2 linked regions of the Macaca fascicularis genome follow. The protein of the gene in region 2 binds, or shares a complex with, the protein of the main gene of each other region. Links are inferred from orthologs where the notes say so. Each region holds a gene or a part of one and is shown on either strand. Other genes may lie near its edges.

What was found. The genes of interacting proteins can lie anywhere in the genome.
Region 1: the proteins of BTK (region 2) and BIRC2 are in contact, whole or in part, in a crystal structure (PDB 6W7O), measured with the Homo sapiens proteins. The link is inferred for Macaca fascicularis from reciprocal best matches to the Homo sapiens genes BTK and BIRC2. Residues at the interface, in NP_000052.1 of Homo sapiens: Leu483, Asn484, Arg487, Glu488, Tyr551, Ser557, Lys558, Arg562, Lys595, Met596, Tyr598, Glu599, Arg600, Phe601, Thr602, Glu605; in NP_001157.1 of Homo sapiens: Pro280, Ser281, Ser282, Asn301, Asp302, Asp303, Arg314, Cys315, Glu317, Ser318.

Annotation. Positions count from the first base shown.
Region 1 is NC_088388.1:101,371,924-101,376,010, forward strand, and holds part of BIRC2 (baculoviral IAP repeat-containing protein 2), read left to right. Parts: intron 1-1,494; coding exon 1,495-1,573; intron 1,574-2,261; coding exon 2,262-2,310; intron 2,311-4,087. UniProt on the Homo sapiens protein: Multi-functional protein which regulates not only caspases and apoptosis, but also modulates inflammatory signaling and immunity, mitogenic kinase signaling, and cell proliferation, as well as cell invasion and metastasis.
Region 2 is NC_088395.1:108,022,266-108,026,244, forward strand, and holds part of BTK (tyrosine-protein kinase BTK), read right to left. Parts: intron 3,021-3,979; coding exon 2,956-3,020; intron 2,305-2,955; coding exon 2,186-2,304; intron 1,667-2,185; coding exon 1,509-1,666; intron 1-1,508. UniProt on the Homo sapiens protein: Non-receptor tyrosine kinase indispensable for B lymphocyte development, differentiation and signaling. Binding of antigen to the B-cell antigen receptor (BCR) triggers signaling that ultimately leads to B-cell activation.

The DNA.
Region 1 (4,087 bases), on a different chromosome or scaffold from region 2:
GCCGTCTCCAGATGTCTCTGCTAAGCAGATCTCCCAGCAGTCCTTTCTGTGTGGTTATTCTCTCTCTTTTTTTTTTTTTTTTTTCCCTCCTCACTGTATTGCTGTAGGCTGATTGGGCTATTGAGTTCTTCCAGAGCTGTATTTGTTTGTGGATAGCTGTCTCTTTATTGTTTTTTGTGGGTGGAAGAAGGCTGGTGTCTCCTAGTCTGCCGTCTTGCTGATGTCACTCTTGCAAACTTTCTTCGAGTGTTGTGGCTTTTCATTTTTTAACATCTTTTGAAGAGCAGATATTTTCAATGTTGATGATGTCAGTTTATCAATTTTATCTTTTGTAGAAGATGTTTTTGGTCTTTTGTCTAATAATTCTTTACCTAATGTAAAGACAAAAGTATTTTTCTCCTGTACTTTTTCCTAGAAGTTTTATTATTTTAGGTTTTATATTTAGGTATATGATCTATTTTTACTTTTATTTTTGCTATTTTTGCATATAATATGGGCATAGGTCAGAGTTTTTTGTTTTTTAAATACGTATATCCTGTTGTAGAGTATCATTTGTTGAAGAAACAAAAGGAGTAGAATGGATATAGATGGTATGTGAACTTCTTGGAACATCTTCAAGAAGCCCTATCAGTTTAAAAACAAATACTTGAGAAACACTGTCACATTATATATAGATAAAAATATTTGATTCCATATTTTTTGGAGGGAAGGTAGTGGATTGTGGCTCAAATGTAATGGAAGAGTGAACATTGAAGAAAGATGAGCAGTTATATTGTGAAAGATCATGTTGTAGGAATACTAAGTTAATAGTATCTGAAACTGTTAAGTAGTTCACTTTAAGCACAAAATAAATTGTGTATAATAGTGTTTTTTGGGAGTCAACTTGTTCCCCTTTGTAGGTGCAGACGCTTTTCTTTTTGTTGTTGTTGTGTTAATGGATTGAATTAGAAAATACCATGATATATTGGCCGGGCGCGGTGGCTCAAGCCTGTAATCCCAGCACTTTGGAGGCCGAGACGGGCGGATCACGAGGTCAGGAGATCGAGACCATCCTGGCTAACACGGTGAAACCCCGTCTCTACTAAAAAAATACAAAAAACTAGCCGGGCGAGGTGGCGGGCGCCTGTAGTCCCAGCTACTCGGGAGGCTGAGGCAGGAGAATGGTCTAAACCCGAGAGGCAGAGCTTGCAGTGAGCTGAGATCCGGCCACTGCACCCCAGCCTGGGTGACAGAGCAAGACTCTGTCTCAAAAAAAAAAAAAAAAAAAAAAAAAAAAAAAAAAAAAAGAAAATACCATGATATATAACACACAGTAAGATGTATATTGTTTTATGATAATTTTGTTCCCGTTAGATATGTATGTGTTCTGGGTTGTGATGTAAAATGTTTTTACTGTGGGGTACAATGAAAGATTTGAAAGCCATTTTTTCTAGAATGGTCAGGTTATATTGATATGGAACAATTTTAAAAAATAATTTTCCTCATATGTTTTAGGTGTGAGTTCTTGATACGAATGAAAGGTCAAGAGTTTGTTGATGAGATTCAAGGTAGATATCCTCATCTTCTTGAACAGGTAAATATATTTTTAAAATCAACAACTTTGAATTCTGCTTTATAATAAAAATACTATTAGATTGGTGCAAAAGTAATCATGGTTTTTGCCATTGAAAATCATGACCAAAACCGTGACCACTTTTGTACCAACCTGTATTAGAAGTTATACTTATTTCTCTTTTATTAATTGTAGGTACATATTTTCATTGATGTTAATGACAACTTTGATTTTTACTTTTGTAATCAACTTGATTGTTTAGGGCTTTTTAAAAAGATTGTTGTTTGTTTTTACTATTTTGAAAAATCATTTATGCTGCCACTGTACAAATTTGTGATGGGATTAGAGAAGGAGGTTTAGTGTCTCTTTGCTGTTTTCCAGAAAAACAAACAAAAAATAACTTGTTAGGCTCTGAGACCCTTTGAGAGTAACCCAGTTAAAATCTTATTTTCCTAATGGAATGAGAAACCACTGATACATTTTTCTACTTTCCTGAAACTAGAGAAATACTTGAATTCTAATTTGGGATAACATGAAATTTAAGGAAATCTATGTGATTAGGGTGAAAGAAAGCAAAGTAAAGCTCATAAATCACTCAGTTCTCAATAGAATATATACATATACTTAACATAAACTTACTTTAGTGTTGTTCCTTTCAGATTGTTGGGGATATCTGATTTTACCTATTAACTTTTCTCTTGTTTCATAGCTGTTGTCAACTTCGGATACTACTGGAGACGAAAATGCTGACCCACCAAGTATGTATGAAATAATTTTAAGTATAGAGTGTAAATTTTTATAAGAATTTTAGGAATAGGCTGGGTGCAGTGGCTCATGCCTGTAATCCTAACACTTTGAGAGGCCGAGGTTGGCAGATCACCTGAGGTCAGGAGTTCGAGACCAGCCTGGCCAACATAGTAAACCCCGTCTCTACTAAAAATACAAAAATTAGCCAGGCGTGATGCGCCTGTAGTCTCAGCTACTCGGGAGGCTGAGGCAGGAGAATTGCTTGAACCCAGGAGGCGGAGGTTGCAGTGAACTGAGATTGTGCCATTGCACTTCAGCCTGGGCGACAGAGTGAGACTCGGTCTCCAAAAAAAAACAAATGTAGGAATGAAAGTATGTACTTTTTAAAAGAGTTTCTGAAGCCATAGGGAAAAATACTGGGAAGTCAGCTAATAAATATTTTATATATATATATATATATGCTTACACACTAGTTTTTGTTCTAGTGCTATACTTACCACTTTTAGTGCTGACATTCCAACTGGAGAAATGAGACATAAGCAAAAGAAAAACAACAGATAGCTTGAAGCAATGCCAAATAAGCGGTGCAAATAATAAGCCCCCCAGATAATAAGCCCCCCAGAAAAGAAAAGGTTGCTGTGAGCTAGCATGATTTGGAAAAGCAGTTCACATATGATTTACGAATTGGACTAGATGTTAGGTATTTAAGTCAGGTATGTTGTATTTCAACGCAAGGGCAGGAAATAGTATAGCTTTTGATTAGAGCTTAATGTTAGCCACATCTGCCAGTTTATGTAATATACATATGTTATGGTGTCTAAAATGGCTAAGGTAATAATCCACTGTTTTATGTACCAAGGGCCATTCTGTTTGTGGCACAGCATTTCAAGAAAGATACTGGTAGATTTGTTAACTGGACCAGAGAAAGGTGACCAAGATGTATGAATCTTAGAAACCATGGCTCAGGAGGACTGGATGAAGGATTTGGTAGTATTTGACTGGGAAATAGGAAGGAGAGTACCTGGGTACATGACAGCTATCTCTTGTGTAATGGACCTAGAAAAGATAGATAGCAGTGTGGGCTGTTCTTAAAATTTTTAACCACTGCTGTCAAGTAGGCTCCCCTGAAGTTCTACCGTAGTTCCTAATAAAATCACTTTGTCAATCTTTAAATGACTGTTTCTTGTTTTCTTTCTTGGTAATTTTCTAACACTCTCTTCCCACCTTGTCAGTTTATAACCTTGCTTCCCTAAGAAAATAGAATCCAAAAGAGAGCTGCTTTATTGCCTCACCAGCAAAACCACAAGGCTACATAATTTATCCTTGTACTTTTCTTTCTGTTCGTTCATAAGAGATGAATTGTTCTTTCCTTTTTCTAAGGCCAATACTTCCACTTTTCCTCTGTATTCCATCCCCTGCTGCCAACTTAAGAAGGTTACTTTGGCAGTGACATACCCTTTCTCTCGAGTCTTCAATTTTTCCATCTCTCCTGAATCATTCATGTTAGCATATAAACATAATGTACTTTTGCTAATCCTAGGAAAACTTCCATGAACCAATGTCCCCATTCAGCTATTATCTTATTACTCTGCTTCCCTTTACAACAAAATACCTAGGAAGATTTATCTATGCTTACTCTGTTTTACTTTCTCACCTTTCATTCTTTCTCTTACTTGTTCTGCTGGAACTGTTCTTGTCATGGTAACCAAGGACTGCCATGTTAGCAAATCCACCACTTGACCTGTTAACCAGCATTTGATAATCATTGGGTGCTTTGTCTTTCTTTTT
Region 2 (3,979 bases):
GAAGAACTCGAGGTAAGAGGAGCAAAGCAGTTTAATAGTAGTAGGACAGATTTCCTTATTTCCAAAATACCACACCTACCCACATACCCCACAATGCACCATATTAAAAAGCAAAAACAAAACGAAGCAAACAAAAAAACCCCACTACCTATTTTAGTTCTCTTTCAAGCAGTAGGGTTTTTTAAAAAAATCTCATTTAGCTGGGTGCAGTGGCTCACGCCTGTAATCCCAGTATTTTGGGAGGCAGAGGTGGGCAGATCACGAGATCAGGAGATCAAGACCATCCTGGCTAACATGGTGAAACCCCGTTTCTACTAAAAATACAAAAAATTAGCCGGGCATGGTGGCGGGCACCTGCAGTCCCAGCTACTTGGGAGGCTGAGGCAGGAGAATGGCATGAACCTGGGAGGCGGAGCTTGCAGTGAGCCGAGATCGGGCCACTGCACTCCAGCCTGGGCGACAGAGCGAGACTCCGTCTCAAAAAAAAAAAAAAAAAAAAATTCTCATTTAGGACCTCAGCCAGAAACAGTAGGCAGCTAATAAAGTAGAAGAAAGGGCCAATGACACACAAAGGAATGAACAAACTTTCATGACTTTTCTTTTGTAATGCCCATTCACTTGTCTGAGTGCCTCTGGCTGCCTGTTTATGCTAGATGACATGGCCCCACAACACCCCACTCCCTAAAGCTGAGTTGGCATTGGAGTGTACTAATGACACTCTAGTGAGAATTGGAGTGGGCCTGGGAAAGCCTCTGGCCATCGGATGATCGAGGTGCAGGCCAAGGTCAGAGAATGTGTGCAAGGTCTGGCATGGTGGTTCACGCCTCTAATCTCAGCACTTTGGGAGGCCGAGGTGGGCGGACCACTTGAGGCCAGGAGTTTGAGATCAGCCTGGCCAACTTGGTGAAATGCCATCTCTACTAAAAATATAAAATTGGCTGGGCGCGGTGGCTCACGTCTGTAATCCCAGCACTTTGGGAGGCTGAGGTGGGCAGATCACCTGAGGTCAGGAGTTCAAGACCAGCCTGGCCAACATGGTGAAACCCTGTCTCTACTAAAAATGCAAAAATTAACTAGGCGTGGTGGCATGTGCCTGTAGTCCCAGCTACTCGGGAGGCCGAGGCAGGATAATCGCTCGAACCCGGGAAGCAGAGGTTGCAGTGAGCCAAGATCGCGCCATTGCACTCCAGCCTGGGTGACAGCAAGACTGTGTCACAAAAAAAAAAAAAAAAAATTATCTGGGTGTGGTGGTGCACGCCTGTAATCCCAAGTACTTGGGAGGCTGAGACATGAGAACTGCTTGAATCTGGGAGGCGAAGGTTGCAGTGAGCCGAGATCGCGCCACTGTACTCCAACCTGGGTGAAAGAGCGAGACCTTGTCTCAAATTTTAAAAAAAAAAAAAAAAAGGAAAAAAAGAACGTGTGCAGCTATCAGTCTGTGGCTGAATGGCCAGCTAAATGGGCAAGTAGATTCAAGGAAATAATTTAAGAGGTCATAAAACACTTACCTCATGCCAACAACTGTACATGATGGTATATACCTTCTCTGAAGCCAGATGAGGCCTGTAGAGACGTAGGCCTTGGGCAATGTGTTCAGCAGTCTCACTGTTAGTAAATCTCTCATATGGCATCTTCCCCAGGGAGTAAATTTCCCACATCAAAACTCCTAGAAGACGAAAAAAAGTGTTAAATTAGTTTGCAGTCTTTTTGGATAGCAGGGGGTCCTAGTCTTCCTAGATCAACCTCAAAGATTAGAATCAGTTGGTTCCCCACTCTGTGCTTTTTACATTTTGCCCAAATTTCTGCTATAGTGCTGACCACACTAGATGGAGATCAGGGTCGTACTAGACTATTAACTCCTCTAGAAGAGAGACAGCATCTTATTTGTCTTTGTAGTTATAGGGTCTGGCAGAGTGCCTGGTACATAATCAGTATTCAGAAGCTGTCAAAAACTGAATGAATTGTTTTATTTAACATGGTTTAAGTTCTAAAAAGACAGAGATCATGTCCAGTTTAGTTTTTATCCTCAGAAACCCCTGGGGTGGCTGACACACAGTAAGCACTCCCCAAGGATTAGATGAATGAAAGCAAGAACAATCTCTCTGTGGAGGTTGCAAAGTGTGAATTTTCCCATTGCATTTCTTTTCCTTTGAGCTGTATAATCTATGTAATCTTATCCACTTACCAAAAGCCCAAATGTCAGATTTGCTGCTGAACTTGCTATACATCAGGACTTCCGGTGGGGACCACCGGACTGGAAATTTGGAGCCTACTGAGCTGGTGTATTCATCATCCAGGACATACCTGCAAGGGATCCAGGACTTGTTGTCATTAGGATTTGGAGAGCTTGGTATTTGCTTACGTTTTCTTGGCGCGGTCACAAGAGTGTTACAAACACACACTTACAGGCTTTCTCAAAAGTCTATCCTTCTCAACTAGTATCTTCTACAAATGTTACTTTTAACGAATTTCCTGTTTTTGTATCTGATTGAGCTTTCCTGATTGACAATATGGTTACAAGAAGGATGATGTGAAATAAGATCTAGTAGGTACTCCCTTCCTCTTCTCTATACTTTTCCTTTCTCTACTCTTCTCCTTCCCTTCCTTTTATCTGCAGTTGTCACTGGGAATTTGATTAAGAAAAAAGGAGGAATGGAATAAAGTCATCAGGATTAATAGATCGAGATAAGGTATTGGGGAAATAGCTAAAAAAAAAAAAGAGGAGGTAGAGATAAAGGGAGAAAGGGAGGAAAGGGATATGATGATAAAACAAAAGGATGAAAGAGGTGGCTTAAATAACTCAGAGGAAGAAAAAGAATAGAAAGATAGGCAGAAAACACTAGAATGAGAGAAAAAAAAAAAAGAAAAGGAGAGGATTAAAACTATAACACCTACCCATGTTTCATACTGTGCTATTTTTACTTCTGGAGGGAAAGATGAAAAAGGCACACTCACCTGGACAGGCCGAAATCAGATACTTTAACAACTCCTTGATCGTTTACCAAACAGTTTCGAGCTGCCTGTAGTGCAAACAGATACCAGTGAGACTCCGTCCCCAGCACAGAGGTTAAAGGCACAAAGCTTCTGCTGACCAGTAGAATGAAGGCAGGGAAGCCTCATCTCCTTCGACTACAGACACCTTCCCACCTAATAGGAATCTGTTGATGCCACCAAGAAATTTTGATTCATTTCCACCATGTGGAAAGCAACCTGCTGTGCAGTCCTAGGTAAAGCACTGAGGACATACAGAACGATTGCATTCTCATGGGCAATTCCATACCACCCCATTCCCTCACTGGTATGCTGAAAGAATTAAGGGAGAGGCTGAGTGCAGTGGCTCATGCCTGTAATCCCAACACTTTGGGAGGCCGAGGTGGGTGGATCACCTGAGGTCAGGAGTTCGAGACCAGTCTGGCCAACATGGCGATACCCCGCCTCTACTAAAAATACAAAAATTAGCTGGGCATGGTGGCGGGTGCCTGTGATCCCAACTACTCGGGAGGCTGAGGCTGGAGAATCACTTGAACCTGGGAGGCGGAGGTTGCAGTGAGCTGAGATGGCGCCACTGTACTACAGCCTGGGTGACAGAGCGAGACTCCATCTCGAAAAGAAAAAAAAAAAAGGAGAATGAGAAGTAAGTTTGTTTTGCTTTCTGCTTTTCTGCCAATGAGACTAGGACAATTTGAGCCTTGGCCTGACCGAAACAGGGACGCAAACTCTGATGCTTACAGGGGCCAGGCAAGTTAAGCAAGAGTGAAGTGAAGTGGATGGAGATTGCAGGAAATGGAGACTACACGCCTGGTCTAAAGGAAAGGAAGTGGTTTGTGAGAATGTGGACCTGGTATTTCCAGATGGTCTAGATTTTCAAGAGAAGCTGGAAATTCCAGGGTGTTTTTTTTTTTTTAAGTGAAATGTTTCTTTTTAAGGGTTTGCTAATTATTATATAACATTAAAAAAACAAACAAACAAAAACACATGT